Linked DNA regions of Arabidopsis thaliana. The protein of the gene in region 2 binds, or shares a complex with, the protein of the main gene of each other region. Each region holds a gene or a part of one and is shown on either strand. Other genes may lie near its edges. A codon is read from its position in the direction of its gene.

Region 1 (3,546 bases), on a different chromosome or scaffold from region 2:
AAATGTTTAGTAAAGGTGTTTTGGTAGTCGTGTCTGAAAGGTTTTTTGGAAGCCTCTCTAAATATTATAAAAAAAAAAAAAACATAACGATTTTGTTAATTATAATTTAACAGTAAATAAATAAATTTTGACTAATGTACTTTGTTTTTTTTTGTGCAAACATAGTTGTATTCATTCAAACCCAAGAAAGCCTCTTCCACTTTAATAACGGTACTTAATAACGTTTTTTAATATATGGTTGGATCGATCAATGTCATGGACAATAGCATTCCCCTATGCTGATCAATTACTTGTGATATTTAATTTGTTGCCTTCCAAATGATTTATTTACTTTACGTATATAGTATGAGGGGATATATTGTATTGCGATGGGTAGTTTTATAATTCTCGGACATTTAAACATTTTTCATCGCCTTCTTTTTTGATAACTAAAACCTTTCTCATCTTGTAACATCCCTAAGGAAAAAGTAACATCAAAAACGTAAAAGAGTAGCTGGGAGAAGTTGGTTCTACTTATTAAATTTATGTATCTCTCTTAAGGAATAAAGCTATGGTTCACATTCGAGAGACTACGAATCAAAAAATCAATAATTTTTATTTATTGAAAAGAAATTGAAAATGGTCATTAAATAATCATAATAATAGAGAGTTTGATAATAACCCTGAAAATTCAAAATCTAAAGTTGATCACCAAAAAAAAGAAAAGAAAAAGTGAGCCAAAATGTCATGATAGGAAAACAAAAAAAAAGTATGAAAAAAAAATAAAAAAATCTGACTTGCATGTTATCAGAAAAGCATGAATCCTTCACTTCACTATACAATTCTTAATCAATATCTCTCAATTTTCAACAGAAAATAAATTACTCATCCCAACTATATAATGGCCAAATTGTCTCACGCACATGCAAATTCCATTTACAAATCAATTCAATTAGACAAGTACTATATGAAACTTTGAATAATTGTATCAATGGTTCAAAATTTCAAAATCAATGTGAAGATAAGGTATCTAATAATAACATTCAAAATCATGATGAGAGTATTATTTCATAAACATTTCTCTAAGACAATGAAATCAACAAGAACTCTCAACTCGAAGGCGTTGAGGCCTACTTCCTCTAGCTCCGGCATCGTCTCCTGAGTCAGCCATTAACGCAGCTCGAGCAGAGACAATCTGGCTAGACGTAAAAGCAGCGTCGAAGGTCGAAAAATCCATCCATCCCATAAGCAATCCTTCTTTTCCCCAACTATCCGGTATAGGAACTTTTCCGGCAACCTCTTCTCTATGTCTCTTTAGCCTATCACGTCCTGACAACACCGTTGTTTCCGGGAAACATGTCTTTGTACCTGTCTTGTTTTGTTTCCGGTGAGAAGATCCTGGAGAGATTGGTTCCTTGGTTTCTTCAGGCAAATTGGTGTTCTTCATTTTGAACTCTTTTCTTTATTTTTACTTTTGTAGTAGAGATTTTTATTGGCTTCGACGTGTGTGTTGTATATATAAAAATGTTGAGATTTAGAGAGAAATAATAGAAAGAAGAAAAATAATATACAAGGTTGAAAACGAAGGAGAGTGTGACAGAGATTTGTGGTGGCCGTGTCTTCTTGTAGGATCACATATAATAGTAATACCATTATATGGTCGTTGACGTTTCTACGTCTCATGGCATGTTTGGTTTTTCCTTCACCGGTTATCTAGACCCGGCATGAGCATCTAACGTCTAGTCGAAGTATAGATGACCGCTTAAACCGCTTTGTAGAACATGCATAAATGTTATACACATAGAATTCACTGATTTTTATTTTATTTTTGTGAGTTCTTTATTTATTTGATGAGTTAGCTACATTTTAACATAATCTGTTATTTATAGACATCACATACATAATTTATAGAGTTCGATTGGTAATATAGTTTACACATAACGGTTTAGAGCTTCTTTAGTGGTTGTTGAAAAAACGGTTAGAAACAATGTTAGATAAAAGGCGGTTAAGTTAAAACCAAGCAGCTAAATTTTTGGTAATTGATAAGAAGTGGTTGAATACTAAAAAAGTTATAATATAAAATAAATTAAAATATAAATAAATTCCAGAAATTTTTTATTTCTATTTTAAAAAATTCCTTTAGATAATAGTATAAGAGAATATTAATATTTAAAATTTTAAAAATTAAAATATATAAGAAAAAGTCCAAGCATTTCATTGCCAAACAAATTACCTTAATCTTTATAGGTGGCGGGCAACAATCTCTTCAACCCACTATTTCCAACTGCTTCTTCTAATCGCTATTGATCGGAATTTTAAAAGCGGTTTGTTTGCGAAGCGGTTAAAGATTACTAATCAAACTCAAATCAATCAATTTGTTGTAGCATTTTAGTTATATATTCATTATTTTTGCCCCCTTCCCCTCTAAAAGAAAAAGGTTATACATTCATTATTATTTACTTATTATTGACTTAGAAAATATTTATTTATTTAATATCAGAAGAAAAGATATATATATATATATTTAATTGATATGTGTGGTTTTGCTACATCCTAGATATTTTTTTGGGTCTCTCTTCTCAGATCTTTCGTTATTTCCACTTTGGGAAGAAAACAACGTAGCAAGAAGAATCAATTTTGGCTCTCCTTTACGTCACAACTCACACGCAATGAAAGGCACATCTTTATTTTTTTCCACACCAGTCAAATTGATTAATTGTGAAGATTCAGAACATAAATATTCGTCACACATTTCTCAAAAAAAAGAAAAGAAATCAGCATACATGAGGAGAACGTTTCATATTTGATAGTTTATCCGCTGTTTAATACATGATCAAGAAAAATAAAATCAAATAATGAATAAACCCAACCAAAAAAAACAATATTTTGACTAACGTAATCCATTATCAAACCAACCATTTTTTTTTTTTTTGTTAACTCTAATTTAATTTGAAGAAAAATCATATTTATTTTTCTTTAATTCTCTGTGTTGATTGGCCCCATGTAAATTTAAAGCATCAAAATCAAAAGGTTGCGTCAACTTCAATTCATTTGTAAGCCACAAAACAAGATATATTGCAACTTGCTAAAGCAAATTTACTGTCCACTCATGTTGTGATCATACTCATAATTTCTTTTTGTCTACTGAAAGCAAATTTATGAAAACTGACCATTTTTTTTTTTAAAAAGGAGAAACTAGGTTACCGACAATAATTTTCTTGTAATGAACCTAGTTATATTGACCATCCTAATTAGAGGCTCTTAATTGATAACTCTCTTGGGCACGATTATTGAGGCAACTCTCCCTTATCCTACAATGATCACATGTACTTGGTCATATGTGAGTAGTCTCATCAAGAAGTTTTAGGGACTCCAAAGGGAATGACCATCTAAACACTTTTTTTTTGGTAAAAAGTGAAATTTTATAGCATTTTAGTTTTTGACAGACGCTTACAAAGACAAATGAGAAGCAGAAAAAAGATCGAAAAACTACAAAGGAAGAAGAAGAAGGAATAACAAACACAAACAACTACTAAACCGGAAAAACAAGGAAGACCTGAGACGAAA
Region 2 (5,964 bases):
CGTCGACCCTCATCCAGGCCCCGTCGACTCCTCTCTGGACGAAACCGATGCCATTGTCAAACATTTCGACGCCTGATGATTCCTGACATTGAAGCTTTATCGCGTGGACTTTTTCTCGTTGTTGTGCCATGCAAGTACAGTAAAACCTTTATAAATTAATATTCGATAAATTAATCATTTTTATAAAATAATAAATTCTTTCAGTATTTGGGACTAGTGTAAAAAGCGATACAAATCGATAAATTAATAAAATATTTTTTTTTTGAAAATCCTATGTAAACATATAGTCCCATCAATATCATAAATTAATAATTGTATTAAAATATCAGCTATATATATATATAAGAAATTTCAATGAAATATAATTCTAGTATCGTTTATTTTTGTAATTTAATTTAATATTTTTATTATATCAAAAAAATTCTTGTTGTTTTCAAGATATGATAATTATTTGTAATTGATTATAAAAAAATATTTTAATCATCAAAAAAAATCTTATATTTTTATAGAAATTAAAAAAATCTTACCGTAGTATTCAGTCATTTAGTTACTATTTTTCATTGGGGTTTTTAGACCAATGATTTGTTACTTTTATTTCCAACTGCATTTGTTTCATATAAAAACGTCGTGTATCGAGATTTCCTTTCTTTTCTTTATAAAGAAATATAAATTGGCCGTTATCTTTTTCCTCAAACTAAACAACTCAGATGAAACAAATTCAAAGACTAAACAAATATGTATATTTTATTCATAGCCAATTGAAATAATATCAGCATTATATGTTTATGCAATCATATCCTTTTGAGTATAACCAAAAGGAAACAAAGAGTTAAAAGACACATTCACACATCTACATGTTAGGCTTTATAACAGCACATTATTTTGATCATTTGCAACCATTTTTTCCCAAACTTGTAGTAATCTGATCAGATGAATCTTGAATACCTTCCAGATTCTTCCCTTCTGATGCCAACGAGCAAGACTGCGAAACGAAAAACACACTCGAAGAAGAAGAAGATTCAGCAGTCGAAAACAACTCCCTTTCATCGAATCCCCTAGATTTCTTCATGTCTCTCTCTTCTTCTTCCTCAGGTTTCACTCTCTTTGACCCGTTGTAACGAACAGCCGAAGGTACTTGTTGGTCATTAGAAGACACAGATGGGCAAAGACCAGGTTCTTTAATGGTATTAGCCCCTAAGGCCTCGAAGCTATCTGCTACAATCTCATCAGGTGCTGCTCCGATCATGATCTGTGCTTCACGGGTTCTTGAAATAGCTTTAGCTAGTAGCTCACGAGCTGTGTCGATGTCTACAATGGGTTTCGCATAGTTTGTTCCGAGTTCCACACCAGAAGCTTTGAGTACGGTTAAAGGAGCGTCCCATGGATGATGGATCCATTCAGTTGGCAATCTCGCAAGCTCGGGAAGCCATTGCCTTATGTACTCACCTTCTGGGTCATATTTGGCGCCTTGTAACTGAAATAAAAACAGAGTTTTCATAGACTTCAGAACTAAATCAACCAAACCAAATAAGCTGAAAAATAAAATAAAAAACGAATGCATAGCAAAAACTGGTATTAAGCTTTGAATTCTAAACTATAAGACAAGTTTTGTAGTTTACCGCGGGATTGTCCAAGCGATCAAGCTCGTGGCCATCGGGGATACTCCCAGAGATATACTGCCAGCCAAGGATGTCACATTCCAAATCAGCATCCAAAAGTGTATCCCAGAAATACTTCATTCCCCATTTCCATGGAAGGAGAAGAAACTTCACAGCAAAGCTTGAAACAATCACTCTTATTCTGTTATGCATCCATCCGGTAGCCCAAAGCTCTCTCATTCCGGCATCCACCAACGGATAACCGGTCCTGCCTTGTCTCCAGGCCTTGAACTTATCAACATCAGCATCCCAAGGGAAAAACCGAAGATGACTCAACAACGATTGCTCGTGAGTAAACGGGAAGTTGAAACATATATACCGAGAATACTCTCTTAAACCGATTCCCCTAAGAAAAAGATCTGCACTTTCTTCTCCTTCACTGTTCTTATCTCTTGCCCATATAATTTGTTTCATCCGGGCACACTGGAAAACGTGTCTGACGCTTATTTCCCCGAAATGGAGATACGGAGAAAGTAGTGAAGTAGAATTCCCAACAACTTTCTTGCTGTTCTTTGCATAATCTATCAACTGCTTCTCGATGAACTCATTTAGTAACTTATCAGCATTGCTCCATCCTGGAGACCAAGCTCTAGTTAACAACGCATTGCTCGGTTTCTCGGCCTCATTCTCCAGCCCTAGTTCTTCAATCGAACACGCCCAAATCGCTTCAGCCGCTAACAAAGAAAAAGCCATAAACTTTTACTACCGCTTATGTCCTGAAGAAATCAAAAACGTTTTAGCTTTTAAGTAATACTCTTTAAGGTTTTACCTGCAGTTATTGGCATCAACCGCCAAGGAGGAGGAAGCATAACGGATTCAATCGACATATCTAAGCATTTCTTCCAGTAAGAATTGAAACTCGTAAAAGGTTTGCCCTTTTCGCAGTATATCTCCCACGGTTCATACAATAGATCTCCATTGTAGCTTTGCACAGAGATCCCACGTTCCACCAGCTTCTCCTTTACGGTATGGTCCCGAACTAACGAAACAGGATCTACAACAAAGAAAAACGTGATCGCATCAACCTCAGTTGCACTTAGACTACACTAACTTAATAAGAATATATATCCTTTGAATAAGAGATGAAAGAGTATATACCATAGAGGTGGTTAAAGACGACTTTTGTAGCACCGGTAACGCGGATACAATCCAAGATCGCTGAAATCGTGTTGTGGGTTTTGATTAAAGTGAGGTCAGATCCAAGAGCCTTCAAGGATTGAGATAAGTGAGCAAGTGATTGTTTCATCCACCATCTTGAAGCTCTTCCAGGATAAAACTGTCCTTCTTCTTCAGGACACCAAATGAAGACAGGAAAAACAGATCCTTCGTGAGCAGCTGCTGCTAATGCAGGATTATCCTCAATCCTTAGGTCTCTTCTAAACCAAACTATAGTCTTTTTGTCCATCTTCATAGTTATTATGATCACAGATGAATCAAAGATCAAATCAGCTAAAATTCCACACTCTAACCAAGTTGTTCCATGATTTCAGACCTCAACCTCCTCCAGAGAATAGTTCTATAACAATAACAGAGAATGATTGATAAGAAATCTGTAATCTTTGAGTCCTAAAATCCAAAATAATCTACAAAAAAACATAACAGAGAGAGATTCGATTTAATCCTAATCCTTTTAAACAGAGCAAGCAAGAGAAATTCAATTGAGAGAAACAAAAATCAAAAGCTGGAAACTTTTTACCAGAACTCAAATCAGAGTGGATATCTCTCGGCGACAAAGATCTTCGAATCAAAGACTGTGAAAGTTATTTTAGTGACTTGACTCTTCTTTCTTCCTATTTTGGGTATGCAAAGTTAAAGATTTGAGATCTAACGGAGACCAAAAACAATACCCATATGAGAGTATGAATGTTAATAATTGTGCAATATAATAATCACAACGAGACAAAAGTAGACAACTTTATCCACAACTAGTGGCGTGTGTTCTTATAATAGCGTTTTTTTTACCGACATCTCATCTTTGATTTGCTCATCTACGATTTTATCGGGATCATGTACGAACTTTCTCTTGTGAGATATTTTTTTATAAGAGATCGAATTTTGTTTGAATGTTGAGTGGGCCTAAAGCGCAGTGAAGATACTCTTATCTTCTTATGCTAGAGAAAAAAGTTTTTTAACGTTGGGGCCGAGGACGGTGGTTCATGAACTCGATTCTGGTCATGCCCACTTTTGTAGAATCCATTAAATATCTAAAGTCTATATGGCTTAAAGGTGAGAACTTGATTCTCATTAGTCATTACCAAGTAGAATCTATAATCAAAATCCACTGCTTTTACTTTACAAAAGGAAAAAGGTAAAGATAAAAAAGTTCTCTCAAACTTTGAATCCTCGTATACCCCTTATTAATGGACCATTGCCTACGGTTTATGATTCGATTTCGGATAGTCGTAAAATAGAAGCAATCTAAGTTTTTTGGATGTATATTTTGGTGTCAACTTGGTGTTTGGTTATAAAATATTTGGGTGAAGAAAAATAGAAGTAAAATTAAAATAATCCACATTAGAATTTCAGTTTAATCTAGTGATTTGGTTTTGGTATGAATCTGCAAGAGTAGCATTTCTTTTTGCAATTGCAACACAATAACACCATTCCTCACAAATCACAATTGCACAAACCCATTATCGAAGAGCTCATCAATTTTGGGCTAATTGCTAAAGCAGAAAAAAATAATCGCAAAAGATAACCATGCAACTGCCAATTTTCTTCTTTTCATGGGTAAACCAAATCAGACACATTGAAAAAAACGATATCCTGGTTTAGAAACAGACCAGGGACAATACTCATCAAAGAGACCAAAGAGGTTATAAAACAGTGTTTGGAGATCTTTCAAACACACTTCTTATTCGGACAAAGCCCTGAAAGGCTTTAACTGATCTCACACCTTATAGATGAAAATTTTGCTCCAGAAGGGTTTAAGAGAGGCATGAGTACGCCAAGTCCTTCTCTTCCTTGAGCTCCTCTGCAGTCAAATCCATCTTCTTCCTTGATACTTCATCAATCGGAAGGCCTAACCAAACAAAATACACATTAGGGTCTGCAGAATCTAGGATTTCATAATTGATGAGCATTTGAGTTTGTAAGTGCGTCATATTTACCTTGGACAATACTCCAGTCTCCATTGCGACAAGTTACAGGGAAGGAGTAGATAAGTCCTGATGGAACGCTGTAAGAGCCATCGGAGTATACTCCCATGGAAACGAACGTACCCTGACAATTTGAATCAAAGAAAGAACTCATATTAGATTAACTGTTACAAAAAAACAGCACTGCAAATAACGGGGAAGAGTTTTATTATGAACCTCTGGAGTTCCAAGGACCCAGTCACGGATGTGGTCACAAGCAGAGCTAGCAGCAGAGAGCGCACTAGACAACTTCCTCGCCTTGATGATTGCAGCTCCACGTTGTTGAACTGTAGAGATAAATTCTCCGTCCAACCTACAGAATGAGCAATATATTTAAGTGAAACTAGATTTTGCTTCCAGAGAAGAGAAAGGGTCTTAAGTTCTATGGCATGTTATACATACCATGCATCGTCCTTGACGAGCTCACGGACAGGCTTCTCTCCAGACGAGGTCTGCACTTTAGCATGGTTGACATCTGGGTACTGTGAGGATGAGTGGTTTCCCCAGATGATCACGTTCTTAACATCAGACACTGGCACGCTCAACCTCTCAGAGATCTGTCCCAAAGCCCTGTTGTGGTCAAGCCTTGTCAAACAAGAGATGTTCTTTTCAGGGATTGATGGTGCAAATTCCTTGAGGATCAATGCGTTGGTGTTTGCCGGGTTGGCCACAACAAGAACCTGAAAAAAAAAAGACAAAACGAGAGCGAATGTGTGAGCAAGAGAGTCGTAAACTAGAACCCAATAGAGAACACAAAGCATCTGTTACACTCCAATGAACAGAGAAGATTGGATGCAGTGGCTTCATTTAACTTAAAAAGCAAACAGATCGTATCACCTTGCAGTTAGGAGCGGCATGCTTCTCCAAGGCAGCAGCCTGAGACTTGTAGATGGAAACATTCTTGGACATCACATCCTTCCTCTCCATACCTTCTTTCCTCGGGAAACCACCAACCATAACAGCAACATTGACTCCAGTACATCCCTCAACGGCATCAGTTGTAGCAACAACACCTGATAATAATACACATCAAATATTCATCTTCTCCTTTCCCACTTATACAAAACAACTTATGACACGGAATGCAAATATCCACAGCAAAACAAAACCCTTAACTACCTTTAAGAAGAGGGAAAGCAGCATCGATCAACTCCATCTTAACACCGTTC

What was found.
Region 1: the proteins of CRY2 (region 2) and AT3G44450 are in contact, whole or in part, in a crystal structure (PDB 6K8K), measured with the Arabidopsis thaliana proteins. Residues at the interface, in NP_171935.1 of Arabidopsis thaliana: Gln45 (codon at 2,937), Phe46 (codon at 2,934), His102 (codon at 2,766), Tyr104 (codon at 2,760), Pro106 (codon at 2,650), Leu109 (codon at 2,641), Val110 (codon at 2,638), His113 (codon at 2,629), Lys116 (codon at 2,620), Ser128 (codon at 2,584), Trp138 (codon at 2,554), Leu205 (codon at 2,258), Thr207 (codon at 2,252), Arg208 (codon at 2,249), Ala209 (codon at 2,246), Trp210 (codon at 2,243), Ser211 (codon at 2,240), Leu220 (codon at 2,213), Glu223 (codon at 2,204), Phe224 (codon at 2,201), Gln228 (codon at 2,189), Gly241 (codon at 2,150), Asn242 (codon at 2,147), Thr244 (codon at 2,141), Ser245 (codon at 2,138), Leu246 (codon at 2,135), Cys301 (codon at 1,970), Phe302 (codon at 1,967), Pro305 (codon at 1,958), Ala323 (codon at 1,904); in NP_190031.1 of Arabidopsis thaliana: Arg41 (codon at 1,306), Arg43 (codon at 1,300), Leu44 (codon at 1,297), His47 (codon at 1,288), Arg48 (codon at 1,285), Glu49 (codon at 1,282), Val51 (codon at 1,276), Ala52 (codon at 1,273), Gly53 (codon at 1,270), Val55 (codon at 1,264), Pro56 (codon at 1,261), Ile57 (codon at 1,258), Pro58 (codon at 1,255), Asp59 (codon at 1,252), Ser60 (codon at 1,249), Trp61 (codon at 1,246), Lys63 (codon at 1,240), Glu64 (codon at 1,237), Leu67 (codon at 1,228), Met68 (codon at 1,225), Trp70 (codon at 1,219), Phe76 (codon at 1,201), Asp77 (codon at 1,198), Ala79 (codon at 1,192), Phe80 (codon at 1,189), Thr81 (codon at 1,186), Gln84 (codon at 1,177), Ile85 (codon at 1,174), Ser87 (codon at 1,168), Ala88 (codon at 1,165).

What each region holds. Positions count from the first base shown.
Region 1 is NC_003074.8:16,073,153-16,076,698, forward strand, and holds AT3G44450 (uncharacterized protein), read right to left. Parts: upstream 1,778-3,546; 5' UTR 1,427-1,777; coding exon 1,076-1,426; 3' UTR 613-1,075; downstream 1-612. UniProt on the Arabidopsis thaliana protein: Regulates the blue-light dependent dimerization of CRY2 and formation of photobodies. Inhibits CRY phosphorylation.
Region 2 is NC_003070.9:1,184,833-1,190,796, forward strand, and holds CRY2 (cryptochrome 2), read right to left. Parts: upstream 3,865-5,964; 5' UTR 3,355-3,864; intron 3,242-3,354; exon of another isoform or gene 3,175-3,241; 5' UTR 3,070-3,174; coding exon 2,757-3,069; intron 2,653-2,756; coding exon 2,428-2,652; intron 2,333-2,427; coding exon 1,620-2,332; intron 1,475-1,619; coding exon 887-1,474; 3' UTR 680-886; downstream 1-679. Other genes in the region: c-NAD-MDH1 (Lactate/malate dehydrogenase family protein), read right to left, coding at 4,586-4,680, 4,769-4,880, 4,973-5,108, 5,198-5,475, 5,633-5,808, 5,915-5,964.